3 linked regions of the Rhinolophus ferrumequinum genome follow. The protein of the gene in region 3 purifies or fractionates together with the protein of the main gene of each other region. This does not show direct contact. Links are inferred from orthologs where the notes say so. Each region holds a gene or a part of one and is shown on either strand. Other genes may lie near its edges.

What was found. Proteins that work in one complex are often made in the same cells at the same time.
Region 1: the proteins of TNRC6C (region 3) and AGO1 purify together in Homo sapiens (affinity purification with mass spectrometry; 5 studies listed by BioGRID and IntAct, with this or other methods). This does not show direct contact. The link is inferred for Rhinolophus ferrumequinum from reciprocal best matches to the Homo sapiens genes TNRC6C and AGO1.
Region 2: the proteins of TNRC6C (region 3) and CNOT10 purify together in Homo sapiens (co-immunoprecipitation; 3 studies listed by BioGRID and IntAct, with this or other methods). This does not show direct contact. The link is inferred for Rhinolophus ferrumequinum from reciprocal best matches to the Homo sapiens genes TNRC6C and CNOT10.

What each region holds. Positions count from the first base shown.
Region 1 is NC_046292.1:24,901,798-24,911,773, reverse strand, and holds the start of AGO1 (protein argonaute-1), read right to left. Parts: upstream 4,106-9,976; 5' UTR 3,890-4,105; coding exon 3,865-3,889; intron 1-3,864.
Region 2 is NC_046300.1:18,100,972-18,110,661, reverse strand, and holds the start of CNOT10 (CCR4-NOT transcription complex subunit 10), read left to right. Parts: upstream 1-5,585; 5' UTR 5,586-5,853; coding exon 5,854-5,875; intron 5,876-9,690. UniProt on the Homo sapiens protein: Component of the CCR4-NOT complex which is one of the major cellular mRNA deadenylases and is linked to various cellular processes including bulk mRNA degradation, miRNA-mediated repression, translational repression during translational initiation and general transcription regulation.
Region 3 is NC_046304.1:52,114,341-52,124,289, reverse strand, and holds the start of TNRC6C (trinucleotide repeat-containing gene 6C protein), read right to left. Parts: upstream 4,452-9,949; 5' UTR 4,314-4,451; coding exon 1,934-4,313; intron 1-1,933. UniProt on the Homo sapiens protein: Plays a role in RNA-mediated gene silencing by micro-RNAs (miRNAs). Required for miRNA-dependent translational repression of complementary mRNAs by argonaute family proteins.

The DNA of each region.
Region 1 (9,976 bases), on a different chromosome or scaffold from region 3:
GCTCCCACTATGTTCTCCTTTCTTGCCACCATCCAGATTGCTGCCCCTAGTTTTATTTTCCAGCTTGAAGGGAAAGGGAGGGAAAAGGGAAACTGCCTAAGAGAAGCCTTTGTCCAGAGCTACCATTGTCCTTGCCAGTAGAGGACCAGCTCAGGTGGGAGGAGAGATACATGAATCAGCCCCGAACCTCTCCCATCACCAGAGCTCTGCTTTCAGTCTGCCAGGCTGGGGGGATGGGGCATATCCTCAACTGGGGGGTCAGGAAGAGGTCAGAACCATTCACGGGAGGGGCACGCTTCCCAGAGCTAAGCTGCTGTCTCCTGCACCTGTCAAGCCCAGCCCCACTCTGCACACTGGGAAATACAGGCCCAGCCTGGGGGGAAAAGGCCTTCAGGACTCAGCTATACAGGGAAGCGAAGGCTTAACTACTGTCACCTGGCCACCTACCCCAAAAAGAGCTGGGCAGAAATTACATACAAGCCATAGACGCACACACAGTGTGATACGTTCCTGTCATACACATCCAAACACTCACTTAGACCTAGACAGTTTACCTTTATACATATACCCCTCACCACCCTAGACTGTGTGTTCTTCAAAAACAGGAACTATCTGCCTTGGTCATTATTGAATCTTCAGTGTCTGGCACACAGGAGGTGTGTTCAATATACAAATATTAAAGGAATGAACAAACAGATCCATACACAAACCACAAAGAAAATAAAAACAAACGAACACCTGCAAACTGCTCAGAAACTATTACAAACCCAGCACAGAACAAAAATGCACCCTGGTGATATAGCTGGTGAAAGACACCCTTCCCCTCCCCAAGTTCTTACATTCCATTCACCTCCTTAGCCTCCTAGGCTGAATAATCGCTTGGAGCCTTGGGAGAAAGACATCCCCTAGTGCTGGGGGCTGGGTTGTACTGATGGGGGAAGGGACAGACACTGTAGCCTCAAAGCCTTCTCTTCCCAGAAACAGGACTACAGACCAGACAGCCTTAGGAATCCTCCACTCCAAGGAGGCTTTGGGAAAACAAGAGAGCCCCCATGCTTCCTCATCCCAAAACTAGGGAAGGCAGGAGGAAGGGGGAAGCTCTCTCCAATTCCATCCCTCCGCAAGCCTTACAGCTGTAGAAAGTGCCCCAGCCCCCAGCTTTTAGTCTGAGAAAGGGAGACACTTCCCTTCAGACCCAGACAGGGACAGACGGCCACTTTGTGATGCAGATGAGGGCCCCAGCACAGAGGACAAAGCTTGGGCCTTGGGGGAAAGGGGCGGGGCCCTTCCTTACAGACAAAAGCAAGGAGGGAGGGGCCGTGAAAAGGACACTCCCCCTCCCCCATCCCAACCAGCCCTGAGAAGGAAAAGTAACAGAGCTGAAATGCCTGGCTCAGGGATTCTTTCCCTGCAGTTTCTGAGGCCCACAAAACTCCCAAGGAGCCAGACAGCCTATTCAAAAGACAAACTCAAGGCTAGGTTAGCTGTCAGTAAGCAAAGACTAAGAGGCCAATCTCTCCAAAAAGAATTTGTCCACACATAAGTATACGCAAATTATTAAATATTCACATACGTGCTTAACCATTTATGTCACTCTGGACTGGACTCAGTTCAGTTAATAAACATGTACTTTGTGTCAGGACCTACACATGTGCTGGTTTCACAGATAAATTAGACACTACCTGTACCTTCAGGGAGCTACCAGTCTAGTATGTGTTTGGAACACACCTGAGCACAGAAGGCACACTTGGACTTAGGCCCAGTGAAGCCAGCAACAATACCTTAGTTTTGTGTATTGTGTCCTCCAACTTCCAAGAGACTAGTCTGGGCCTAAGAAGGACGCACTTATGTGGGTACCTCTATTGATAGCTTCCAAAATGAATTTCAGTTACATCATTTGATGAAGCAAAGCCTGCCCCACGAGGCTACAGCCAACTCCAGATACCAAGCTCTAGTCCCTTCCCTAGAAGCTTATTTATTGGAAGAAACAGTTTTTTCATCACTCCAGAGCCCATTAGGAATTCATCAGAATAAAATCATTAGCAGTCTGGCATGGGTGTCAACTCCCAGCAATCTATCTGGACCTGTGACCTACTCCTACTCTAGTCCACAGGTTGTTGCAAAGTCTCCAGCCTAGAAAACCAGGAGAGTTCCTGGAATGGAGAAAGGGGCCTGAGGGAAGGAGGAAGTAGTTTTCTGAAGTCTGTTGCTCCCTGCACTCCACCTTAAGACCTATACAGCCTTTCCAAGGTTGTTTTCTCTTGGAGGAAAGTACTTACAGATCTCTGAATGGATGACTTGAATGAGTTGGTAGGAGCTAGTGCCTTGAGGGGATTAGATCTGGTATAAAAGACAAAGATTCTTCCACCAGAAATGAAATTCAAGTCCCCAAAGGAAACCCTACTCCCACCCCCAGATCAAATGGTAGGAGCTGGTGAGATACGACCTAAAGGAGTCCCAGGTCCAGAATGCTCCTCCCATCAAAGGACAGGACACAGGTGGTGCCACCATCCCACAGCCCATTCTGGAGACTCCAGTCTTCGTGGGGCAGTCCAGCCTCAGTTTCTCCTGTTTTTATCTCCTTTTCTCCTGATTGCCCATGAACAAGGAGAAAGTAAGGCTATCATCACCTGAACTCACCAGGGTGAAGGTTATAAACCCCTCCTCCCCCAAACAACTGATAGATGACAAAGGGCTAGCTTGGCAATCTTAGGTCAAATGACATGGCCCTGACAGTTTCTGGGGATTAGAGAGAGGAAAAAGATATCCAGTGGGAGATAGGAGCAATAAAAGTGTTAAGGTATAGAATGAGATTAGGCTGTCACCTCAGGAGATATTTCAATGGAAAGGTCATTATCCTTTGATTAAATGATCCCATCTCTACTCGCTATTAGACCAGGCAGACAACCTCTTCCAGGTAAACCAGGGCCTGCCTGGCCTTGGTCCCTCAGTAATCAATACCTTTCCTAAGGCCTATCTTTAGGGAGGCCCCGCCCCAAGAACACTGCCTTGTCTTTCCTTGTCCCAGTGGCAGAATAAGGCACTTTGGCAGTTTCCCTCAACTCATTCTTGGCAAATTGTGACTGAGGGTTTTGCCAAGGGTTAAGAAGCCCCAAGATGAGGAAGGGGACCATTTCCATTTGCGCTCTGCCAGCATAACCTTAGAGAGAATGCACCCCCATCGGCGCGCTCTTATTTCCAAGCCAAATCGCGCGGGGTGGGGAGTTGGGGAGATTCGGGCAGCCACGCCCCCACCACATAGGGCTGCCCCTTCCAGCTGCCACCTCCGCGCATGCTCCAGCGCCTCTGCTCCAGCTCCCCGGACTCACCGGGTGGAATCCCAGGGCTGGATCCCCACCCACCGCCCCCTGACCCTCGCCCCCGCGTCAGGCCCGGCTGGGGCGGAGCTCACAGTCCAGCTCTGGCGCCTTCTCCCAAGAGACACTAACCCAGCCCAGACCGGCTGAGCCCCCGCCCCCGGCATGCGGCAGTTCTGGGCCCATCTGTGTCGACCCCCTCCTCTCCTGGACACCTGGAGCCCGCCCCGTGCCACCTGCCGGGCCTCTCCCTAGGCCTCCAGGGACCTCCGGGAGTCCTTACGTGCGTTCAGGCCCTTCTCCCAGATTACTTCCCACCTCCAGGAGTGCATAGTGCCTCCTTTGATAAACGGCCCCGATCTCAGGGCTCCCTTCACCAGGTTTCCCCCGGAACTGCACACAGCCCCCTTCAAACTGGGCCCCCCATCCCACAAGAGCCCCTCTCCTCACTCAAGAAACCTTCCCTGACTCGGATTTACTGCTCTGCACGCGGGAGTCCCTTGGTCCTTTGGAGCACGCACCGTCCCCCCTTCCCGGGGGCCCTTACCTGCTCCCGAGGGTCCCGCTTCCATCCCATATACCCGTGCGGAGGTCAGGCGGCCGGGAGACTGTGGAGTCCAGCGTGAGGGGCCTAGGTACCCTGCACTCTAGCTGCTCGGGCTCCCGGGCCGGGCTCGGCTCCCCCCCGAAGCCCGGCCGCTCGCGCCGCCACCCCCACAGCCTCCGTTGCCGCCGCCGCCGCGGAGCCTGCAGCAGCTCCCCCTGCGAGCGCCCGGCCAGCTGCCAGTGCGCAGGCGCGACCGCCAGGCCCAGGGGGCGGACGGGAACGAGTCAAGCGGGGCGCTCCGACGGCAACAAAGGCCAATGGAGAGGGGCGGGGGCACCCGGGACCGAGGCAGCGGCCCCTGGCGGTCACCCGTCGCCATGCAGCCCGGCCGGAGGGCTTGGGTAGAGGCGCAGCGGAACCGCGCAGTGGCGTAAGTGGCGCAGGGCGGGGGGACACCCCCCGCAGCAGCCTCCGGCCCTGTCTTTCACCCAAACAGCTCCCTCCCAGCCTACACAGAGCCTCCCCGCTTTGCACAGAGCCACGCGCACATTACAGGAACCCTACTTCATTCCAAGGCCCGCTTCACATTCTCCGTGCAACCCATCACCCCGCGGCTCTGCCTACCACCTCGCCTCCCCATTTCTTTCATCCTTCACCCCTTGGCTGCAAAGCTACTGCCTCCCTGAAGCCTTTTTCCGTCCCTAGTCACTGAATTCACTGATGCCATCCTCATTTCCAGGCCGAGTGCTGGGCACAGAGACCACAGATAATGAAAGAGACCTGCTTACTACCCTGGACGATGTCACAGTTTCAACTTGACTGCAGCTACAGAGTTCTGTCTGTGGGACCTGGCAAGCACCGGTCTCCACTTTCTCATCTACAGCTCACGCCTGAACTCAATCTGCGTGTCCTCGCCACTTCACTTAAAAGACTTTTTGTGTCAAAATTCAAAGGATAATTTTCAATTCTTATTTCTCTGCAACATCTGACACTGTGTCTCTCCTTCTTTTTTGAGCCCTCTACTTGGCTTCAGTATTTTCTGAGATTTCCTATTATTGCTTACCTCCTTTTCGGTCTTAATCAAGAGCCCCCTTTTGCTTTTGCCCCCCTAAATAACAGTGTTCCCCATGGTTTCAAACCCAGCTCTCTTCTCATTCCACTCTCCACTTTCCCCTTGAAGGTCTCACCCATTCTTACGGCTCAACTATCCTTCCAAATCTCTATTTCCAGCCAAGTCTCAGACTCATATTTCCAAGTGTCTGCTGGACAGCTCCACCTGGATATCCTACCAGTACTTCAAATTTAGAGTCCAAAACCAAACTCTTTATCTTTACCCCACAAACATGCTTGTCCTATGCTTCTTGTCTCTGCAAATGGCACCTTCATCCCAGAAATGAAGTTTCTCTCCCTTGCTTCTTCCCCCTATTCAGCTTTTCACCAAGTCCTGACATGTTTACCTCCTAAACTACTCTTACATGATCCCCTGCCATTCTGATGGTTCCTTGTGATAGTACAGACCCTTATTACACCTTGCCAAAAGTATCACACCACTTCCTCGCTAGTCTCACAGGTTCTGGGAAGAGTCCTCCCATTCGGTCTGCTGCAGTTGATACTTGGTAAGAAACCCAGTTCAAACATCACTTTCCCTTATATTTATTCATATGTATTCATCCATATGTATTTTTTTATGCCTACTTTACACTAGATGCTGCGCTGAGGGCAAGGAACTTAAGAGACAGATCTCACACACCCAGTCCCTACCCATAGAGAGATTAATTTCTGACACTCATCATAGTATGCCTTGCTTCTCTCTAACAGAGGTTCTCAAACAGCAGGCATTAGAATAACCTGGAGAACCTGTTACAACACTGATTGCAGAGCCCCAGTTCCAGAGCTTGTGATTCAGTAGGTCTTGGGTGGGACCCAAGAACGTGCATTTCTAATAAGTTTCCAGGTGAGGCTGAAGCTGCCAATCTGGGTACCACACTTTGAGAACCACTGCTGTACAGGATAAAGTTAAAAACAAAGACTCTTGAGCCAAACTGTTTGGGTTTCAATCCAGGTGCTACCATTCACAAGCTGTGTAACACTAGGAAAATAACTTATCTGTGTCTCAGTTTCCTTCTCCCTCATTTCCTTCCACCTCATTGGGCTGTTGTTAATACATATAAAGACCTCAGAACAGTGCATAGAAGAATGCAGGCAAAGTGTCAGCTGCTATCATACTGTACCATGTTTCCCTGAAAATAAGACCTAGCCAGACAATCAGCTCTAATGCATCTTTTGGAGCAACAATTAATATAAGACCGGTATTATATTATATTATACCTGGTATATTTATATTATATTATATTATATTATATTATATTATATTATATTATACCCGTTCTTATATTCTAGTAAAATAAGACAGGGTCTTACATTAATTTTTGCTCCAAAAGACGCATTAGAGCTGATTGTCCGGCTAGGTCGTATTTTCGGGGAAACACAGTAATTATTGGCTGCTTCTTGCACTATAGTCTAAGTTCTTTAACAACAGGGACCACATCAGATGCATTTCTGTCACCCTTTAGTGGCTGGCACAAGCTGTGCCTAGAATGATCAGTAAATCTGGATTGATTTGAATCAAATAGATGGCATCAAAACATCCCCAGAAATAGCCAAGACCTTTACCTTGGTATAACTAAGCTGGAAGCTCAGCATTCCATGAGAGTTTGAATCCCCTGTTCTAAATACCAAGCCTCACACTCAACTTTGTGGAAAGCCGTTGGTCACTATTCTGACCCAGGTCCAAAGTGGCTAGCAGAGTCAAGCCGGGCCCTGGGCTCTCCGGGTCTCTCTGCAGTGTCTCCATCATCAGGGATTTTACTCTTGGCTAGGCAAAGTGGTAGAATATAAGGGAAATCCAGATAGCATTTTGCTGTTTTATGCTGAGAAATTCTTCCAGTAACTGTTGATAGCTTTTCTTCCAGAAAGCTATTGGTTGCCTCTGTTTCCAGTTCCATTCTTGCATCTCAGTCCATAGCTAACTCACACCCTAGGGCATCTGCTGAGTGGGCCAGAGCCCAGGTCCTTCCACTTTTATACCTTCTCTATACCCAGAGTTTCCTGGTCCCAAAACAACAAGTATGGCCTGAAGAAAAATCTGCATCTCAATCTATATTTTCCTTTCCTTAATATTTAAAAAACAGCCTGGGAACAATAAAATCAAGGTGGTATAATAGACATAAAACAAAATGTATACCCTACTATCAGGAAATGAATCACCAACAGCTCTTGCATGCACCACCTCTTTCTATCTATAACAAAATACATCTTTTAATGTATTTCAGAAGATAATTTTAAAAATCAGAAATCATGAACAATGGAATTAATAAATGTCAGCTAGTACTTTGTAAAGACTTGTGAAATTGGTAGACATTTTTAAATCACTTTTTTAAATTGAAGTATAATTGACACAATAAACTGCACTTATATAGTGTACAATGTAATTAATTCTACCATATGTATCAACTTATGAAACATCACCACAATTGAGACATTGAACATATTTATCACTCCTAAATTTTAAAACTCATCACAGAGATTTAATTTAAATTACATATATATTTTTACTTTAAAAAATGCAAAGCAAGGACTCAAAAGCAAGAGTTGAGCAACAATTAAGGAAGACGCTGAGAAAGTTATCAAAAATAACCAAAGAACACCAGGCTCAGGAGTTTCACTGTTTAATATTTCCAAACATTCTTGAAAGAGTTAATCCTGTTCCACGTTATTTGAATGGTTTTAGAACATGGGGAAAAGGGGAATTTTCCTAATTTGTTCAGAATAGCAGATAAAGATCCTCATCTCTTATCAGATGATGATATTATAAAAAGAATTCTCAGGAATGTGGATGCAAACATCACAAGTCAAATGTTAGCATATAGAATTCTATAACAGATTAATTAAAATTATGATAATAATAATAAATGAAGACATAGATATGACTGTGCCACATCACCTGGGGCCCAAAAGAGTTAGCAGAACCTGCAATTCAGTCAAAAATGAGATTTCCTAAGACTAACAAATAAATAAGATCAGACATTAAAAAAAAAAAAGCGATAGAGACACAGAGAGGATAAGTAACTTGCCCAAGATCAAGATAACACAGCTTGCAACTAGCAGAGGCAGAACTTGAATCCAGGCTCGATGGCTTCAGTATCAACATTCTTAACCACAACACTATATGACATTATTATTAAAAGAATAGCATATCAACACAAGGGTAATTCAGGGATGGTTCAAAAATTAAAAAATCTTAATATAATATACAATATATGTGATTAATCAAAAATAAACAATTATCATAGATAAAAATATTTGATACATTTTAATATCCAGTCTTAAAATAATTAAAATCACTCATACTTACCATGATGATAGAATATCTATTCTTAGCTAATGAAGAAGCAGTACTCTCCCTTTAAAAACAGTAATAAATGAGGTCACTCTTCACTACTAATATTATTTTAATACCAGTTTGGACATTCTAGCCAGAAGAGAGAGCCAGAGAGAGAGAGAGAGAGAGAGAGAGAGAGAGAGAGAGAGAAGTAAATTTAAGTATGTAAGAAAATATCTCTATTGTAGTTGATACAATTATATAATAAGAAAGTATACAGTCTTATTAAAATTAGTAATACTAAGTAAGTGGAAAGATTCAAGAAAATAAGCAATAATCTGTAGCATTCTGATGGTACCAGTATTAACTAATTATAAACTGTAAAGATAAAATATCCAATTCAAAATACTTAGAAAAAAACTTCATAAGATGTTTGTGATGTGTGAGAAAAATCTGTAAGAATCAATAAGATGACATACAAAAAAGGCTGAATTAAGTAGAGAGAGAGGCCAAGTTCCTAGATGGAAAAACCAAATAATATAATGTCTGTTGGACGCTTGCTACTCCAGCTCCAAGTTCTGAGGACTAGTATCAGATATTCCCACCCACCCCTACGTATTTTTTTCCAGAAATACAAAAACAAAGATGGCAGAGCCAGTCTCTACCCCTAAGAAGAGATAAACATAAATCAGTGTTACCCAATAGAAATATCATGTGAGATACACATGTAATTTTAGATTTTCTAGCAGCCACATTATAAAAAGTAAAAAGGAAACAGATGAAATTAATTTTAATAATGTTTTACTTAACACCAAACTATTACCATTTCAACATGTCATCAATATAAAAATTTATTATTTTACATTTTTTTTTAATACAGTCTTTGAAATCTAGTGTGTATTTTACACTCATAGCACATCTCAATTCAGACTGGCCACATTTCAAGTGCTTAATACACGTGGCTAGTGGCTATTGGACAGTACAGATGATCATTTCAGGGCAATTTTGAGTATAATGACAGAGGCAAGCATGGGTGCCATGGGAACTAAAAGGAGGTATTCGTATGTGTAACCCAGTCTGGGATAATCAGGGTAGGTTTCCTAGAAGAGACACCTTCTTAAACAGGCCTGGTAGGATGAGCAGGAATTAGCCAGGCAAAGGATGGTAGAAAGGCATACTAAACAGCATCAGCAAAGAACATGAAGGTAAGAAACAGCACATATGCCAGGAACTATCAGTAGTGATATTCTAGCATAAAGAAGAAAGCAAGCAACAGTGAGAAGAGGATAGAGCAGTACATCATGTCCAAATCTGCCCACTCTCTCCCCAGCCCAAACCAGGGCAGGGGCAGCAGGGGGAGGGATAGGAGGAGCTGTCCCTGGTTCTGACACCCAAGGCAGATTCACAGTGTAGTTTCACCCAGGCTAGAACTCAACTGACCCAGATCAAGCCTATTTCCCTGGGTCTTCTATAGCACACATGGAGACCCCAAAACCCTAAACGTGGCCTGCAGAACAGGAGAGCCTTTTGAACAGGCTCCTTAGTGGGTTGGAGAGTCTTAGGAACATCCAAGTCTAGGAACAGAACTCTAGGATATTGAAGTTTAGGGTCAGATATAGCCAGGAAAGGCATTCTCTTTGAAAGAAAAGTAGATGTAAACCTACTATACCAAATTGACCCCAAAAATAGTAGTTAACCTGTGGGGTCTTATCTTGACTCCTTAGAGAATGT
Region 2 (9,690 bases), on a different chromosome or scaffold from region 3:
TAAGGAAAGTGCATATCCTCCAAACATGTACTCTCACGACAGCTTTTTTCTGAACCTTCTACTTCTCATTTGTCATAATATATATTCAAATATATACATACACATACGTATGACTCTTTTGACAATGTCTGTAGCCTCATTGGTCTATAAGTAGACAGGGTCTATGTTCCTTTTAATTCTCTATTGAATCAACACCCAGCACAATACGTTTCACAACTATTTGTTAAATGTGTAAATTAGTGAATGCAATTCTTATTTGGGGTGATTTTCAAAATATGTAACAACTAATATGGCATGGGCTCTCTCATTTAGTACTAGAGTCAGCTGTAAACAACCAGTATGTTGATGTTCGTACATGTGAACATCAACTACATATTAGCCCTGCTATTACAATACCGAAGGTTCTGATATAAACTTAATGCTTTCATTCTGATCTATTACAGGATTTACATGGGACTTCAAAAATAAATTTAAATGACATATGCAAAAAATCAAATCATATCTATTTGCTTAGTCTGATTTAGACAGCGAACCAGTTAGGATTCATTTCAGCTGCATGTGATAGAAAATCCACATTAACAATGAACAAGCCTTGCATGTGACAAGGTTTTACTGTCACACAAACACACAAGTGCAGTCTGGAAGCGGTATGGAGCATCTAAGGTGTCATCAGGAACCCAGGCTCTTTAATCTTTCCAGTCCTCCATCCCTCTTACTCTTGTCTTCATGGTCTTGAGGGCGTTGGAGTTCCAGCCATCACATTTACATTCCAGACAGTAGAATGGAGGATTGGGTGAAAAGAGAGATGAGAAAGTATGACTTATACCCTGGGGGGGAAAATAGGCAGCAGTTGCTACATGTGAGCAGCCAGATGTCAGGTTTAACAAACAAGGCATTCAAAGCAGCCATTTGTTTTGTGTCTCAGCCTGTAGACAGTGATGCTATTGGCTAGAAATGTCTGGGAGCACTCACCATTTTCCTCAGTTTTGAGGCTGGCCCAGCCCAGTGGTGGTTATGATGTCAACAGGCCTCTCAGCAGCAACCATCAGGAAATTTTGAAATAAAAAGGTTTATGACTCATTAGTCCTGGAGAGTACTCAGCACACCTAGGGGCCACATACAAGGTCACAGTAGAGACAGAGAGCATGGACTAGGGGTTCTGCCTTTATGGGGGTTGGGGATGAGGTGCCTAGAGTTTTGTGGGTTCATTCTTTATTGGTGAGTTTAAAACATAAGAATGGGAATTAAAGTGTGAAGAGGAAAACAGGGTCACTCCAATACTAGCAAACTGAATTCAGCAACATATAAAAATTATGCACCATGGCCAAATGAGATTTACCCTAGGAATACAAGGTAGGTTTAACATCTGAAAGGCAATTCTTGTAATAGTATAATATATCATATCAATAAAATGAGAAACAAGAACCACATAATCATTTCAACAGACACAGAAAAGCATTTGGCAAAATCCAACACCTTGTCATGAAAAATACACTCAACAAACTAGGAATAGAAGGGAATTCCTTAACCTAATAAAGCACCTACAAAAAATCCCAAAACTAACAAAATATTTAAATGTAAAAGACTGGACGCTTTCCCCCTAAGATTTTTATTAGTTTCAGGTGCACAAAACAATGTAATAGAGATTTCACCCCTTCCCCAATCTATTGCCCCACTGAAGGATGTCCCCTCTTTCTATTTCTATTCAAAAATGTACTGAAAGTCCTAGCAGGGAAATTAGGCAAGGAAAAAAAAGGCATCCAGATTGGAAAGGAAGAAGTAAAACTCTCTCTATTTGCAGATGATATGATCTAGTATATAGAAAGTCCTAAGGAATTAACTGAAAAACTGTAAGACCTAGTAAACAGGTTCATCAAGGTTGCAGGATACAAGATCAGTATACAAAAATCACTTACGTTACTATCTACTTATAATGAACAATCTGAACTGACATCTGCTGACACATGCTACAACATAGATGAATCTTGAAAATATGCTAAGTGGAAAAAGCCAGTCACAAAAGGTACACATTGTATGGTAATTCTCTTTATATGAGATATACAGAATATTTAAATTCTCAAATGGTCAATTTGAGACAGAAAGCAGATTATTGATTGCCAGGGGCTGGGGGTTAGGAAGAATGGTAAATGACTAGTAATGGATACAGGGTTTCTTTTGAGTGTGATGAAAATGTTCTGGAATTAGTGGTGATGGTTGCACAACTTTGTGAATCTACTAAAACACCCCAAACTATACTCTTCAAATAGGTGAATTGTATGGTATGTGTGAATTATATGTCAATGTAGCTATTTTTTTTAAAAGGATGAGCAAGGATGAGCAAAGAAGCTGGTGAACATGAGAATATGTCTAAAACACATATACAACAACAACAGCTAAATTAGGGGATGAAAAGCATCATAGAATTAATATAATTATTGGGGTTGTGTGCTCACACACAGAATAATTTTAATTTCAAAAAGATGAAGAACTGCAGTTGATGAAAACATATTGAATATATAAAAAGCCATAAGTTCAGAGTAATTTTTTGAAAAGGAAATAGTTCTGGAGATTGCTGGAACATCAAACTTATTCCTCTGAAAACTGATAATTATAGGGAGAGGACTAAACATTCATCCTGCCTTTCTGTAAACTAAATTTCAGTGTAACCAAATATCCCTGTGGATAAGGAAAAGTTTTTCAGTACAGAAGAATTCTAGGTAGGGCTGGGAGTAGGGTAAACTGAGTGGGTGCCTAGAGAATGAAATTTAAGAAGGCACTCACATAGCCCTGATTCTAGTTAACAAATGCATGAATATCCAAATGAGAAAATTATTTCAACCATTAGTGAAATAACTGGTTCAGACAGTGGCCATTAATGCTTCTAAAACCACTAGGAGAAAGGCTGATAGAAAACGGATAAAAATCAGGCTGTCACTATCTGAATCCAAGGATCAATGTTAACGTCACAAAAAGTGAGACAACCAACCTTCTGTGCCTTCTAATGGGGTTGCAGAACGTACACCTAGGAAGAAAGCACCACCTAGGAAGAATTCTCAGGAAAAAATTTTTTGACTCATAACATAATCAAGCCTTTAGAAGTAACCTGTAGTCCACAGGAAATATTGAGCATAAAGGATGCAGTCACAAGGAAGCGATATGCCAGGGATCTTATACTGGATTCTAATTTCATCAGTAAGTCAATGTAGGGAATAATAAAAGGGGAGCGAACTGTTCTAGATTAAGAGAAACACAAGTAAAATGATCTTGCTTGATCCTGATTCTAAACAGAAATTACCCCCCAAAAAAAATTTACACTGTAGAGGTAATTTCAGTATGGTTTGGTGATTGAATGATATTAAAGAAATATTTTGAATTTTGTTAGATGTGATAATGGTATTGTAAGAAAATACTTGGATATTGCTTTTTGAGTTGCATGTCGAAGTGTTTAGAGGTGAATGATATGCTATCTGGGATTTGCTTTAAAACACTCCAGCAACAAAACATAATAAGGAGGACGGGGTAGATAAAACATGTATATGGTTAAATGATGCTAGGGAATGAACACATGGGATTTATTATACTTTCCACTTTTGAGTATGTTTGGAAGGTTTCACAATAATATTTTCCCAAAAAAATATGGGTACACCTTTATTCCAGAGAAACTCTTTTAACTGTTCACAGGTTTAAGAGTGAGCTCAGCAGCTGTGTTTGTAAAATGAAAATTGGAATTGACGTCAATGTTTGTCAATAAAAGAAGAGATAAATAGAGGTAATGTGACGAGGTTGTCTGTCAGCAGCCTTTCCCAGTTCCTCCCGTTTAATAAAATTCTGATTATATTTATTCCTCGCAGGAATGTTTTGTGGATGCATCATGATAAAGCCAAAACATGCATCGGAATCTCTTTTTGCCAGTAATTGCCTCGTGGTGGGCAGGCAACCAATTTCACGGATGAGATCTTAGGGGACATTTTGGTGAGAGGCGTCTAGGAAAGATTCACCATACTTCTTTGATTCTAAGACACAATATTTCTGTCATCTCTAAAATTGGCAGGCTTCTCACAACTGATAGCATCTCACAATCACTGTCTGACAGATGGCTGTTGTGTGTTATGTTTGTCATTCCCTGTGTATGCACGAGTTTGATCTGAAAACCTACCATTTGTGACATCTTCTGGTAAGATCTAGAAAGTGCCAGAATTAAAACCTGCAGAATGGGCCTTCTTGAGACAACACTATGTGAGGAGATGCTGTAGTGCCAGTGGTACTGAAGTCTCAAATGATATAGGCATTAATTATCTCACTGATGAGAAATCTGCAGGTAAGCTCTTCCATTGCTGAATCAGTGACTCAGCAATGCCAGGATGCAGTTCGACATTCCTGGGATTCTTTCTGTTTTCCCCAGTGGGCCCAAGATAATTGCCACAGCTCTGAGCATCATGCTCTCGCCTCACCATTTTCAAAGCAGGAAGGGGGAGAAGGGGGCAAAGATGACGGCTCTGTGACAATGTGGACAGGCCTTGAGAGTATTATGCTAAGTGAAATACTCATATGTCAGACAGAGAAAGACAAATACTGTATGATCTCTTATATGTGGAATCTTAGGGGGAAAAAAGAGCTTATAGATACAGGGAACATATTGGTGGTTGCCAGAAGCAGGAGAGGGGGTGAGGAGCACAATGGGAGCAGGTGGTCAAAAGATACAAACTTCCAGTTATAAAATAAATAAGTCATGGGGATGTAATACAGAGCATGGTGACTAGTAGTACTCTACTGCATATTTGAAAGTTGCTGAGAAAGTAAATCATAAAAGTTCTCATCACAAGAAAAAAAATATTTGGAACTATGTATGGTGATAGACATTGTGGTGATCATTTTGCAATAAATACAAGTATTGAATCATTATCTTGTACACCTGAAACTGATATAATGTTGTATGTCAATTGTACCTCAATAAAAAAAATTAGACAAATTAAAAGAAAAAAAGAATAGCCTAAGAAGACATGACGCATTCAATATAATGTGGTATCCCATTCCTGGAACAGAAAAGGAACATTGTTCAGAAAATGGAGAAGTCCCCCCGTAATAGTAATAGTACGGATCAAGGTGGTTTTTTGGATGTGACGGATGTACCATAGTAATTTAGTAACTAAGATGTTCACAACAGGGCAGACTAGATGGGGAGTATACAGGAATTATGTATCATCTTTGCAACTCTGTAAATCTAAAACTATTCTAAAATAAAACGTTTTGTTTTTAAGCGGGAACCGCAACAGTGCTTTCTCACAGAGTTGTGAGAAATCAATGAGAGACTAAAGCCAAGTGCAAGGTTCAATGCTTAGCACATAAATGTCAGGTGTGGTTATTGTGATTTTATGTAAAATAAGGAACAATTGCTTGGACACTTAAATATTTTAGTCCGGATAAGCAAAAGGCAGTGGCACGCAGGCCCCTCCCACCCTACCCAGCACATACCCAGAGGCGCAAGCGCGCGCGCACGCGCACATGCGCAGTGGGTGGGGTCGGGAGGACGCCAGCGTGGGGCGGAGCCAGCCACAGTTCCCACGCCGGCCGCGGCCCCCGGAAGTAGTGTGTACCGTGACTCGGGGTGGAGACTGTAGAAGGCGGGATGCAGTGGCGAAACCTTGGTGGAGACGGTGCTGCAGTTGCTAGACGACGTGAACCAGCCTTCGTCACTTCCTCAGCCCTCGGTCTGCCCACTCCGCTGGCCGGAACCCAGGGGCCTGGAGCAGGGGTGGGCAGAGTCGTCCTCAGAGGTCCAGGATAGCAGCCAGCCGGGCAGCTGGAGTCGAGGCCACGCCACCTGCGGGGAAGAACTCAAGCCGAGGCGGGAAGATGGCTGCAGACAAGCCTTCAGGTAAGGCGCCCGCGCCCCTCTCGCTGAGACGGCGGGACACGCGAGGGTGGGCCAGCCCTGCGCGCGGAGGCGGCGGGGCCCGGAGTGAGGACTAGGGGTAGAGGACTCGAGGGCGACTTTAATTTGGGCGTGCATTTCTCTCCCCTCTCTGGTCCCAAGGCCGTCGCTGAGGTCTGATAGCTTTTTTACCCAAGTGCAGCTACTGACCGCTTTTGCCCAGTTTCCCAGACTATCGCTGGCTGAAAAAGCTTGCATTTATTTGGCCGCTTCACAGACTTTTTCGATTTCCTAATGGGGATGGCAAAGCAAGGAAAGTTCACCCTGGAGCAAGCACACAGCTGCTCAGGCTAAGACTCACCTGGGCTGTTTTGGCCTCATCAACCTGCCTCTGGTCAGGTACATGCTATGTATAAGCTTCGTGTAAACCACTTATTTAAATAGACATGAAGTCATAGTGTGTGGCTCTGGTCTGTGCTCTCTAACATCCTGCGTTTAGAACCTGTTTTCCCTAGTTCCTCATGACTAGCTAATTTGATCTCATTGATTTTGTTTATGGATTACTGCCCTATTCCTAGAATCTTTTTCATTAAGGAATATAAAATTATTTCCAGCCTACCTCTGGGACGGTGTGGTGTATGTTTCCTAAAAGAAATTAATGTTCTCTGTGGCATCCACAAAGTTGGAAGTGGTCAACACTTAGACTTTACAGTGAAATTACTAAAAAAAAAAGGAAAAAAAAACTCAGTGTGCTGTAGGTTGTCCTAGGTCCGGATCTTAGTAACTGACAGATAAACTTGAGTTGATATTTTAGTGAGTCCATCCTAATACAAGTACAGATGAATAAAATTGGTAGAGAATCTCTTCAGTAATCAGCTGAAAAGAAAAAAAACAACAGAAAAAAGGTTTAGAAAGTTGAGGCTAATGGAGTGTGTTACAGAAGTTTAGATAGGCCGGTCAGGGAAAGCCTCTGGTGAGGTGACATTTGAGCAAACAGCTGAATGAAATGAGGAGTAAACCATAGGGAATGGGGGGGTAGGGAAAACGCTTCAGGGAATAAGCCTGACCTGCCCAAGGCTGGACCAGGGGAACCAACATCTTCATTCTTAATGAAGACAGTGTCTCTCTTCACCAGATTTGCCATTCCATACCTACTTGCCTATACCATTGCACTTGCCTGGAATGACCTTTTTAGGCCTAAAGCCCATCTAATTTTCAAGTCCTTCCTCAGTCATAAAGCGCTCTTGTACTTGTTCATTCATTCATTCGCAAAGATTGAGTGCCATGTGTTGCCTTAGATGTTGAAGAAATGAATATGACATACTCCCTGCCCTTGAGGACCTACTGTTCAGTCTGCCAGAGACACATCTAATGACACTCCCATTCAGTACAAGCTATGTAATATATCTAGGAGAAGAATAAAGTCCACAGTGACTTGTGGGCTGTTTTTTTTTTTTTAAAGATTTTATTGGGGAAGGGGAACAGGACTTTACTGGGGAACAGTGTGTACTTCCAGGCCTTTTTTCCAAGTCAAGTTGTCGTCCTTTCAATCTTAGTTGTGGAGGGTGCTGTTCAGCTTCAAGTTGTTGTCCTTTCGATCTTAGTTGTGGAGGGCGCAGCTCAGCTCCAGGTCCAGTTGCCGTTGCTAGTTGCAGGGGGCTCAGCCCACCATCCCTTGAGGGAATCGAGGAATCGAACTGGCAACCTTGTGGTTGAGAGGACGCGCTCCAATCAACTGAGCCATCTGGGAGGCAGCTCAGCTCAAGGTGCCGTGTTCAGTCCTAGTAGTAGGGGGCAGAGCCCACCATCCCTTGCGGGACTCGAGGAATTCAACTGGCAACCTTGTGGTTGAGAACCCACGGGCCTATGTGGGAATCGAACCGGCAGCCTTCGGAGTTAGGAGCGGGGAGCTCTAACCGCCTGAGCCACCGGGCCGGCCTGCGGGCTGTTTCTTTGGTTGGTTTAAGTTTATAGGCCATATTTTAGGAAACTTCCTATCTTGATAATAAGGTTGAATTCTGTGTTAAGTGGGTGAGAGTTTAGTGTGGCTCTCTTGAATCTCTCTGCTCCTCTCCATCCCCATTTCAATTGTACTAGGTCTGGCCTTTATCTCTCATTGTGATCAATTTCACATTAAGCAGCCTCTTGACTGATGTTTGTCTCTTCCTGTCCAATCCATTCTTCTTACTGCTGCCTTTTCATTTTATTTCTGAAACACTAATTGGATCATACCATTACCCTGCCTATAAACTTTCTAAGACCTTACCATCTTTTGTGCATCAAAACCTTACTCCTTAATGTCATTTGTGAGGCTCTTCACAGTCTATTTCCAGCTGAAGTTTTTATATCAACACATCTAGCTCTTCACGCCACAAATGACTCTCTTGGAAAGCATTGTGTTCCTTTGAGCTTCTGGGTAGTAATGCCCTTTTTCCTCTTCTGTGTCTGAACACTCTCCTCATTCAAAATCTAGTTTATATGCTCCTTCATCTCTGCGCTCCTGGGCCCAGGGCCCTTTTCATAGAGGGTCTTATGTGTTTGTTTTTCATTAGGTAGAAAAAAAAAGCCCATGAAAGAGTTTAGGAAGGTAAGTGACCTGACCACGCTGGCTATGGTAGAGGGTGAGTTGAAGTGAAACAAGACTGGAAACCCAGACACTAGCTAAGACTAGCTAATGTTGTCATATTTATATATTCAGTAAATATTCACCAATGGCCTGCCCTGCCAGGCACTACAAAGTCTCTGTTGTAATGGAGCTTATAATGTGGTATGAAGGACAGGTATACGTGTAAACAAAATAAGAAATAATTATGATTTCAAGTTGTGATAAATACTGTGAAGAAAAGAAAAATGAATAAGAGGATGGAGGATAACTGAGAGCAAGGACTCTATTTTGAATAGATGGGTTAGAGAAGGAAGAGCTCTCTTAGATGGGACATTTGAACAGAGACCCTAAAGAAAGAGCCAGCCATGTGGGGGAAGAATTTTCCAGATAGGAGGAGCAACACATGGGGAATGTTTGAAAACAGCGAGAAAACCCCTTGAGGAAAAGGGATTTTCGTGTTAGTTATGCTCTCTCTCCAGCGCCTAGAACAATGGCTGGCTTATAGGAGGCACTCACTACTTACAGGAGCATAAGTGAGCAACGGAAGCATGGCAAGAGATGAAGTAAGAGATGTGGCAGGGGATAGTTTATGTCAGGCCTTGTAGGCCATGGAAGAAGTTCAAATTCATTCTAACTAATGAGAAGCCACTGGGAGATTTCAGCAAGGGCATGATGTGATCTGATTTAGATTTTAACTGAGCCAGGTGACAATTGATAAGTTAGGAGATGGAGTTTGAAATCAGGCAGTCTAGGTTCATTCTAGCTTGGTATTTGTGAGACCTTGGGAACATTTTAGGAAACTTTTTAAAGTCTCGGCTTTCTGATGTGTAGAAAGAGAAGGATAATATCTACGTCACAGGATTGGTAAAGGGTTAAATGAGATCATCTCAGGCCCTGGTTTTTAAAAACGATGACTAATACTACTTTAGGGTAGTTAGTGGTAGGATGGAGAGGAAAGGCAGACGTGAGCAATGTTTAGGGAGAAAAACTGGTAGAATTTGTCACGGATTAGATGCAGTAGGTGAGCAGAACCTTTCCTTGGAAAAGGTTCTTAGTTGAGCCTCAGTTTCTTCATTTGTAAAATAGGGATCCTAATAGTTTTCTAATTCCCAATAGCCTTCTAATTTATTTACTTCACAGGGTTGTAGCTTGTGAGGATCAACTGAGGTAGGTAGAGTGTGTGTTTCAGCCCTCATCCTCTGGGAAGCAGAAC
Region 3 (9,949 bases):
GCTTCCGATGGCGTGCTGGGGGCGCTGGGGGTGCAGCACGGGTTCTCTGCTTGGATCTGTTCCAAAGATGTCTGATGGTCAGAACAATTTTTTTTTTAACCCAAATCTGCAAATTATAGTCAACAGGCACTCAGCATCCATTTTTCTGCCTTCCGTGAAACTTCCTGTATCACAGAAGCCCGAAGTGAGAAAACAGAAGTACACTTTCCAGACTCCCTTGTGGGTTCCGGACCCCCAGTTAGTCCCATAGATCAGATGAGTGAGTGAGTGACCACGGAGAAAGGACTCCTAGCCTGGTCTTTAGGGCATGTTTATAACATTTAGGGATGGCGTAAAACTGGCAGGAATAACTAACATGTCGATCACAGAATCCGGGTTCAAAAAGATCTCAACGGGCTGGGGGACTAGAATCCAAAAGTTTCCCAGAAACAAAGTTCTACACTTGGGACCAAGCAACCAACTACCCAGGTGCGTCCTGAGCAAGAAGGGGCTTCAGAGCGGCCTTAACAAAAAGAGCGACTTCCGGTTTTCAGCTCAATTTAAGAAAAGGGGTGTGATGTGGCTCAAAAAGGCTAAATGAAACTTGGAACGCGTTCATTACTAGGAGTATGATTTCAGGAGTGAGGGAGGTTTTAGTCGCGAGTAACTCTGCACTGATGAAACCAAACTTATCGTCCTGACGTCAGTCCTGGGCACAAGAACCCTCACGAGCCTTCGCTTTTCCAGAGGACCAGAAAAAGGATTTAAAGCCGTGACTACGAGCACCAGCTGCAGGAGCTAGGAACAGTTCCTGGAGAAGGGCACGGGGGACAGGAAAACTAGATGCAGCTGTCTGAAGTTCTGCAGCATGAGAAGAGAAATTCAGCCTTGCTTTGCACTGTCCCCAAACTATCCGAGCAATTCTAGCACCTGGAGAGAGGCTGACTGAGGCTCTGTCTAAGGACATGGTAGCCACAGTGACTGGGAAAGAAGTGCGGTGGGGGCCTCCCGGCCCTGTACGTGGGCCTTCCGGTTGCTTGGCGAGTGTATGGGAGAGGGAAGGCCCTGAATATAACGCCCTGAGTTGGACTGTACTCTCCTTCTGGTCCCTCCTACACCTGGGAGCTCGGCGATTTGGTGAGCCCAGGGTTCACTCACTGATGCAGGTCCCATGGCTGGAGCGGAGTGATCCTTTCTACACGGACCAACATTCTAGCGAGGAGTGTGGGGCCTGCTAATTCTGCAGTTACAAAGCCCAGCTGAATTTTATCTGTGCGTACAGGTCCCTGCTGCATGGTTATTTCCTCTGTCATAATTCCCACTCCCCATGGGCAGGCTCTTCTCTGGATCATCTTAGCATCTTCTTTCCCACCTTTTCTCCATGCGTCTAGAAGAGCGCCTTGCACAAAGCAGGAACTCAAAACACAAGTTTTAGTCTAATTTTAAGATTTTCCTTTCAACTGAAATAAAAACATGACTTGTATAACGCCATTCACGTTTTACAAGAATGGTTTTATTTCAGTGTTAACCACACATCAGAAACACCCGTGGAGCTTTAAGACCCACCAGCGGACGGGCTTCCCTCCAGACGGGTGATACGAGAAACCTCCTCTGAGGTCAGTACGTACTCCCTGCCCCATGCTCCCAGGTAATTCCCACGAGAGCCGGGGCTGAGCACCACTGGTTTATCTCATAAAGAAATGGAGACTCTAAGTGAACACAGACTAACACAACGGTCCCCCGTCTTTCCTGAAGAGGATGCATTTATTGCTTCTTCCTTCTCCTTTCCATTGAAAAGTGCTTAAGATATTTTTTTCTTGGATAGAGCGCTTTCAGGGAATCCTGCTTTAATTCTACACGGTGAAGGGCACTTAATGCCATCTGCTGTGAAAACACGAGTCTGATGACTATAAATGCTTTTTAACTTTTAAATAATAGAAAGCACATCCCGTACCTGGACCGAGCAGCGGCGACCGGTTCAGCTGGGCGCTGGCCTGGAGCGGTGGCGGCGGCGTCTCGACCACGCTCGTGTTGTTACTCGTGGTGGTGGCGGCAGCGGTGGTGACCGCCGTGCTGCCCTGGATGCCCGGGTTGTTCCTGTCCCACATGTTTACAGTTTTGTTGTTGTAGTTGCTTGGGTCACCCCAAGCTGAGGTACCATCATCAATTTCCATTTTGCGGCGAATGGATGGCGGAGAAGGTTCTTCCCAGCCCGTGGCCTCGCTGCTGTCCTTCTGTTTGATGGGGACCGGCCCCCCGATCCACCCTGCTCCTGTCTGTTTAACGGAAGCGGCTCCTCCCCAGTTACTCACGCTGTTGTCCTGGGGTTTGCTCGCCCAGTTCTGTTGGGGGCCAGGTTTTAAAGACTCTCCCCAGTTTGTCCCTGGATTCACCTTTGCATTTGTGCCGCTGCCCCAGCCACTGGTCCCAGACCTTGTAGCGTCATTCCAACCAGACCCTGATCGATTGCTGTCAGCATCCCATCCAGAGGCATTTTTTTTCCCATCCCCCAAGTGTCCAAGGACAGAAGACGAGTCTGCCCAATCCCCCCCTCCAGCACTCCAGGCGGGATTTGATTTCTGTCCATCTCCCCAGTTTTGAGATTTGGGCTTCTGAGGCTCACCCCAGGTGGGCGACTTGTCCTCCTGACTTACGGTCCCACTCCAAGCGTGGCCACTCTTGGCAGCAGCAGCATTAGTGACAGCAGTAGAGCTTATCGAGTCCCCCCAAACCCCTGGGCCGTTTGGCGCTTTGTTGCTGCTGTCTCCCCAACCTGTGTTTGCTGGCGCAGCAGCAGGCGGGGAGCTGACCCACCCAGATACTGAAGAGGTATTTGTACTGTTCATGATGGACCCATCGTTCTTCCCCCCTGAGTTTGAAGGCTGAGTAGCTGCACAACCCCAGGCCTCTGTCCCATTGTCATTTTTCCTCTCCGACCTCGGGGATTCTTCAAATTCCCAGGCAGTGTTTTGCTTTACTGGAGTCTGTCCCCATCCAGTATTAGACAGAACTCTTGGGTCGAGATCGTTCCTTGGCAGCTGGATGTGCCCTTGGTCTGTAATCCCCTTGTCCCGCCTTCGGCCTTCCGCCCCCTCCCTCCCCGTGCTTCCTTCATTGTAACTGCCAGAACCGTCGCTGCTGCCTTCACTGGCGGTGGTTGCAGAAGACGCAGCTTTGGCCCAAGAGTTCATGTGTTCACTGCCAGGCTGCATGGCAGGGTTCTGGCTGCTGACACTAGGACTGTCCCACCCTGTTGATCCTTTCCCACTGATGTCACTACTGGAATGCTGGTTCGGGGGCTTGCCCCACTCCCCATTCACACCGTTCGAGGTGCTTCGGCTGGGGTGGCCCCACGCTCCCGAATGGATATTACCCATGCCATTGCTGCCACTGCCCCTTCCCCAAGCGAGGATTCCAGGACCAGCAGGAGGGCCCGAGTCCCAGGCGTTCGTCCCATTTCCTTCCTTTTGCACAGCACTGCTGGATCCGTTTTGTTTAGCACTTAATGCTGAGCTCACAGTGTCTCCATTCCCCTGATTGAACCCCGAATTGCTATTTCCTGCGGCAGGGTTACCTGGGGACAGTCCCCACACAGAACTGCCGAGTCCCTCACCGCCACCCCCACTGACTTGAGAAACTGATGATCCGTTAGCACCAGCGAGGCCTTGCAGAGGGGGCGGGATGATGGCCCCCATGCCGACGGCCATGCCCCAGTTTGGCAGTCCGTTCGCCTGCATTGCATTGATAGGGTTTGGGGAAGAGTCCATGGGGTTAGTGTTATTTGGTCCGTCAGTGTTAAGGTTCTGAGGTTGTACGCTGAAAGACACATTCTGAGAAGTGGACGTTTGTGGTTCTGTGCTCTCTGGCGGCAGCAAGTTTCCCCAAGCACCTAAAGTGCCTGCTGGGGTCCCATTCGGGGTGCCCATGTTTTGACCTATGGCACTGACTGGACTGCAAATACTGGAAGGGTTGCCTGTCGCCACAGTTCCTTCATGTCCCAGTACAGGCCAGGCAGCGGGGTTGGCATTGGGATTAAGGTTAAGATTAATGCCAGCACTGGAGTTGGAAGCGCCCCAGCAGTTCTGACTTCTCCCATCTCCAATCATGTTGTCCATTTTCCCATCCCCACTGCTGAGAGAGCAGTGAGCCAGGCCGGAGCTGGCGCCTGTGGCTACGCCCCACACTCTGGCTGCGTTTCCGTTGCCGTTGGCTCCCCCTGCTCCAAGGGCACTGTGATTAGAAGGGCTTTGGACGAGTGCGCCGTTGGTGCCATTATTGCCATTTGTCTTCTTGGTATGTCCAGTGAAGCTGCCCTGGGCACTCCCTGTAGCCATGCTACTGTTCTCTGAGCCACAGTTGGAGGCAGAGTCAGTGTCTGTAGTACATTCTGAGGCAGATTCGGGCTCTGCTCCTGTGATGGAAGGCCACGCCTCCTTATCAGTCCTATCTATTATCACTTTATCCCAGCTGCAGTTGGCTTCACTTCTGTAAGTGGGCGGCTGTCCCCAGTGGGAACTTTCATAATGATCTGCCAATCCACTGTGACTGAGATCTGAAAAAGACGAAACATTCAAAATTAGATTTTCCTCCCATCTGTCAATGAATCAACTGTTAGTTAGTCTTTGGGGGAAGCTCATTATTTCAAGGTTTCAATTCTGAATGACAAATGCTAAAACACGACTTGAAGAAAAGTTATTTGTCCCCTTCACAGCTCCCATTTAAAACAGAGATAACGCTTCTCAAATCACAGTAATTGTTACCACCACACCAAACTGTCACTCCTCCGGAGAAGATTCACAATGCTCATTAGCACATGAGAGGCTATGAAAGCATCTGTAGCACAGACAGCTGCGTAACCGTAACCGCGATGTATAGCACTTCGGAAATTTATGCAACTGTACAACACCTATAAATACCCCAAATCTTTGGGAAACACTGGCAACAACAAGAAGTTCACATGGATGCCTCAATACAATGTGTAGTTCTCTTCAAGAGTTACAGTATTGTGTAGAGGCTACACGGCTCATTTAGTAGACAGGGATTGTAAATGCCTTGCAGAATCATATAACAGGACCAATGTTTTGGGGGTGGGGGACAGATGGGCAGGGAGAGAGGGAAAGAAGGAATGGGGGGAGAGAGGCAGGGGAGGGAGAGAGAGAAGGTATTAGAAAATGCTATCGTATGTTATCAAGGGTAGTAAAGGTTAGAAAGCTTTAATGACATTTATACTACTTCACCTGTTGTTACCAGCAATTATGCTTTATCACTGTTTCCTGTGCATCAACAAAGAATATTCTCAGCCCCACATCTGGTACCTTCTTTGATCTCTAAGGATTCCTTCTACAATTGCTTTCTATTTCCTTAAATTACAGTCTCTTCTTTGGAGATTCTCAGAATAATTTTATGTATCTTCCTAAAGTATTTATATCATTTCACTCTTATCCTTTTAAAGAATTCAGTATTTGGTACCTGCATTTTATCTCCTACGATTTCCGAATTATTTGGGTATTTCTAACACTGCAATCAAACTTATATTCCAATGAATTTTCCAGCAGACTTTATTTGAAGTATGTGTCCTTAAAAATGAAAAATATAAAAAAAAATAAAGTTACCTGTACATACAACAAACTCACGCAATTTGGAAATCCTTGACAGTTTCTTTACATAGTACGATATACAGATAATTGCAACAAAAGTTTTCTTCTCTTTTAGAACCTTTTCATCATTATGTTCTCTTCAAATTTATTTTAACAAGAAAAAGCTTACTCATGGAGAGTAAAACTGAGTTTCCCAAAAGAAATCTCTTTTAAAGTTTGATGGAGTTAAAAAAAAAAAAGAAGTATGTAAAGAATTACCACTATCACTGGAAAGAACATATTAAAGCTAACTTCAACCTTAAAAACAAACACAAATAAACAATTTTTGTTGCCTGATTTAAAAGGAATGTAATGAGTTTAGAATTATGCCCTAGGTAATTCTAAAGTAGGTAGGTATTCCAGGTGAACTCTGCAAAGGGGAACAGAGATAGGCAACAGAAAACTTTAAGTATCAAAAGTACTATAAAACAACTACGTTTTTTATCACCAAATATTAGGGGTTGGCTCTGCAACTCTGGTTTATGACAATTTTCCCTGTTGGTTTTGTACATACTATAAAAACCAGCTTATATAATAACTACATTAAAGAAATAAATGAGACGACAACCAAGATGGCGCAGTAGGTAAACGCTGAGCTCACCTTCTCACAACCACATCAAAATTACAACTAATCTACAAAGCGACCATTATTGAGAATCGCCTAAAATCAAACAACAGAAGCCTTTCAATTAGAGACGTGCAGAAGAAGCCACCTCCACACTGGTAGGAAGGGCAGAGACGTGGAACGGGCTGGTCCCTCACCCACGTGTGACCATTAAAGATCGGGAGGGATATTTCGGCTGTGGGCATCCCCCCAGCCCAGGGTCCCAGTGCCGGGGAGAGAAGTCCCCATCATTTCTGGCTGTGAAAACCAGCGGAGATTGTGACTGAGTGAGACAGTGTGACTGCACTCCCAGGCACTCCTGTTAAAGGGACCACACGGACTTACCCACCAGTGGAATCACTTGCTCTGAGCTCCAGCGCTGGGGCAGAGGCAGCAGGAACAAATGTTGGGGAACTGAGTTGTCTGGCTTGGGACGGGGGCTGGAGAGGCGGCTTTCTCCGGGATAGGGGAGCTGGTGGAGGCCAGTGTTTCTTTGTCGAGCCCTCCTACTTCCCCACCTGAGTCTCCCTGGCAATTTGAGACCCCAACCCGTCCTGCCCCGCCCCACCCCACCCAACATTCTGGCACACCCAGGCTGCTTTCAGTGGCTTTTTCATGCAGACCTCCTGAGCCTTGGCTCAACCTGCAGACTTTCGTGGAACCTAAACAAGTAGCATCTGGCTTGAGCGTGTCCTGTACCTCTGGCTGAGCAGCCCTAAGCCGGCACTAGGGGCAGCCGGCCTTGGTTTGTGGCTTGGCCTCTCAAGGCGCTTCCAAGTAGAGCACGGGCGGCAGACGATAAGGATTTCTTTCTGGCTCCCGCTGGGTGGCCCCAGGTGGGGCATGGGCTGTGGCTGAACTTGACCTACAGCCGATCCCCTCCGAGGTGGTCCTTGGGCTGGCGCCCCCAGTGGCCAGCTTCAAAACGAGCTGGAGCATCACCCAGCCGCCTCCAAGTACGACACACCCAAGGAGCAAATTGGACAGGCACCAGAGCCCTGCTAAGGCAGCTCCTGCTCTGTAGGGTCAGCCCCTGCATAACCCTTCCACTGGAGTCAAGGCCAGTCCTCACAACCAGTGAGCCCGAGGGTCAGTCCCTCCCACTGATGTGCAATTATCAACCAAGGCTCAACTACAAAAGGAGGGCGCACACAACCCACACAAGGGATTCACCTGGAGCACGTGGCTCAGGTGATCAGAAAGACTGCACCACTGAACCCCATGGCACACCTACTACAGAAGGCTACTCTACTAAGACCAGAAGATATAACAGCCCTACTTAATACATAGAAACAAACACGGGGGCAGCCAAAATGGGAAGACAAAGAAACACGTCCCAAATAAAAGAACAGAACAAAGCTCCAGAAAAAGAGCTAAGCGAAACAGAGATAAGCAATCTATCAGATGCTGAGTTCCAAACACTGGTTATAAGAATGCTCAATGATCTCAATGAGAACTTCAACAGAGAGATAGGAGGCATAAAAATGGAGATGGAAACCATAAAAAAGAACCAGTCAGAAATAAAGGCTACAATAACGGAAATGAAGAATATGTCACAGGGAATCAACAGTAGATTAGATGAAGTAGAGAATCCAACCAGCGACGTAGAAGGTGGCAGAAAACACCCAACTAGAACAGAAAAAAAAAAAAGGAATCCAAAAAATTCAGGAGAGTTTAAGGGGTCTCTAGGACAATATCAAGCATACCAACATTCGCATGATAGGGGTACCAGAAGGAGAAGAGAGAGATCAAGGAATTGTAAACCTATTTTAAGAAATAATGACAGAAAACTTCCCTAACCTGGTGAAGGAAATGGACATACAAGCCCAGGAAGCACAGAGAATCCCAAACAAGATGAACCCAAAGAGGCCCACACCAAGACACATCATAATTAAAATGCCAAAGGTTAAATACAAAGAGAGAATCTTAAAAGCAGCAAGAGAAAAGCATTTAGTTACCTACAAGGGATCCTCTATAAGACTGGCAGCTGATTTTTCAACAGAAATTTTGCAGGCAAGAAGGGAGTGGCGGGAAATATTCAAAGTGATGAAAAGCAAGGACCTACAACCAAGATTGCTCTACCCAGCAAGACTGTCATTTAGAATTGAAGCACAGATAAGGAGCTTCCCAAACAAGAAAAAGCTGAAGGAGTTCATCACCACCAAACCAGTATTACAAGGAATCTTAGAGGGACTTCTTTAAGATGGGAGGGGGTTAAGGATGGGTGAAAGGGGAAGGGATTAAGAAGAACAAATTGGGTGTTATACAGTCGTCATGGCGATGTAGGGTATAGCATAAGGAATATAGTCAACAATATTGTAATAACTAGGTACGGTGCCACATAGGTACTAGATCTATCAGGGTGATAGACGGGAGGGGGGTTGGGGGCAGGGTGGGAAAGGTGAAGGTGTTAAGAAATACAAATTCGTAGTTAATACAATATGGGGAGTATAATCAACAATGTTGTAAAGATCATGTAAGGTGCCAGATGGGCGCTGGACTTATCAGGGGGATCACGTCATAGACTGTAGATGCCTGACCAATGCGCTATACACCTGAAGAGCTGAAGTAGAATAATATGGAACGTCAACTATAACTAAATATATAGGTATATATAGTCATGGGATGTGGAGTACAACATAGGGAGATACTTGATGGTATTGTAACAGCTATATAAGATGTCAGGGGGGTAGCAGCTTGGGGTGGGTTATCACTTTATGAGGGGTTTAAATGTCTAACTATTACGTTGCTTTGAATACTTGAAACTAAAAAACAAACCAACAAAAAACAGAAAAAGAAAAAAGAAATGAGCCACTCATCATTTAACACAGAAAATAGGACCAACTTAAAAAACAGACTATTCCGTCCCCAGCAATCTACCAGTTCACTCTCCCACCTGTCTTGCTCTCTCCAGGGACAGGTTTACCATGAGGCAGGCCACTCACCTCTTGATTCACTGCACCCCACTCCCAGGAGGCAGGAGTTAACCATCCAGCTTACCCGCGCATTCCTTCCTTCCCGGGCTGGAGCACCTCTTAACACGTAACAGTATCTTTTCCATTCCACAAAGGTCAGACTGTGGAAGTCTCTGCTCTTGGTTAACGGTCTCCTTCACAGATTCGTGTGAAATGTTTTTTGACTATTGCTCAGCCCCCATTCGATGGACTCATATTCAGTTATATCTCCCGTTTGAAAAATGTTCTCTACCCTTGATGGGTAAGGACAGCATTGCGAACTAGTGGAGAAAGGAAGAACTAGCTAATAACCGCTGCGGGACAACTGGCTAGCCACATGCAGAAATAAAAGTAGATCCTACCTCATATCATACATAAAAATAAATTCTGTGTGGATTAAAGACCTAATTATGAAAAGCAAAAAGCTTCTTTAAGCTTAGTAAGGAAACATGGGAGACTGTCTCTATGACCTTGGACACTGTTATCTTGTTACAGAAGACATAAAAAAAAGTTGATAGATTTGACTATGATATTAAAAACATGCGTATGACAAAAAAGAAAGCTAGATAACAAGCCACACACAGAAAGGAGGTAGAACAGATAAAGGATGATGATCAGAATAAAGAACTACAAATCTGTAAGAAAAAGACCAACAACCCAACAAAAACAGGAAGAGGACAGGAACAGGCAACGTAGAAGAGGAAACCCAAACAGCTGCTAACACATGCAACAATAATCAACTTCATCATACTCAAGAAATGCACGTTAAAACGAGA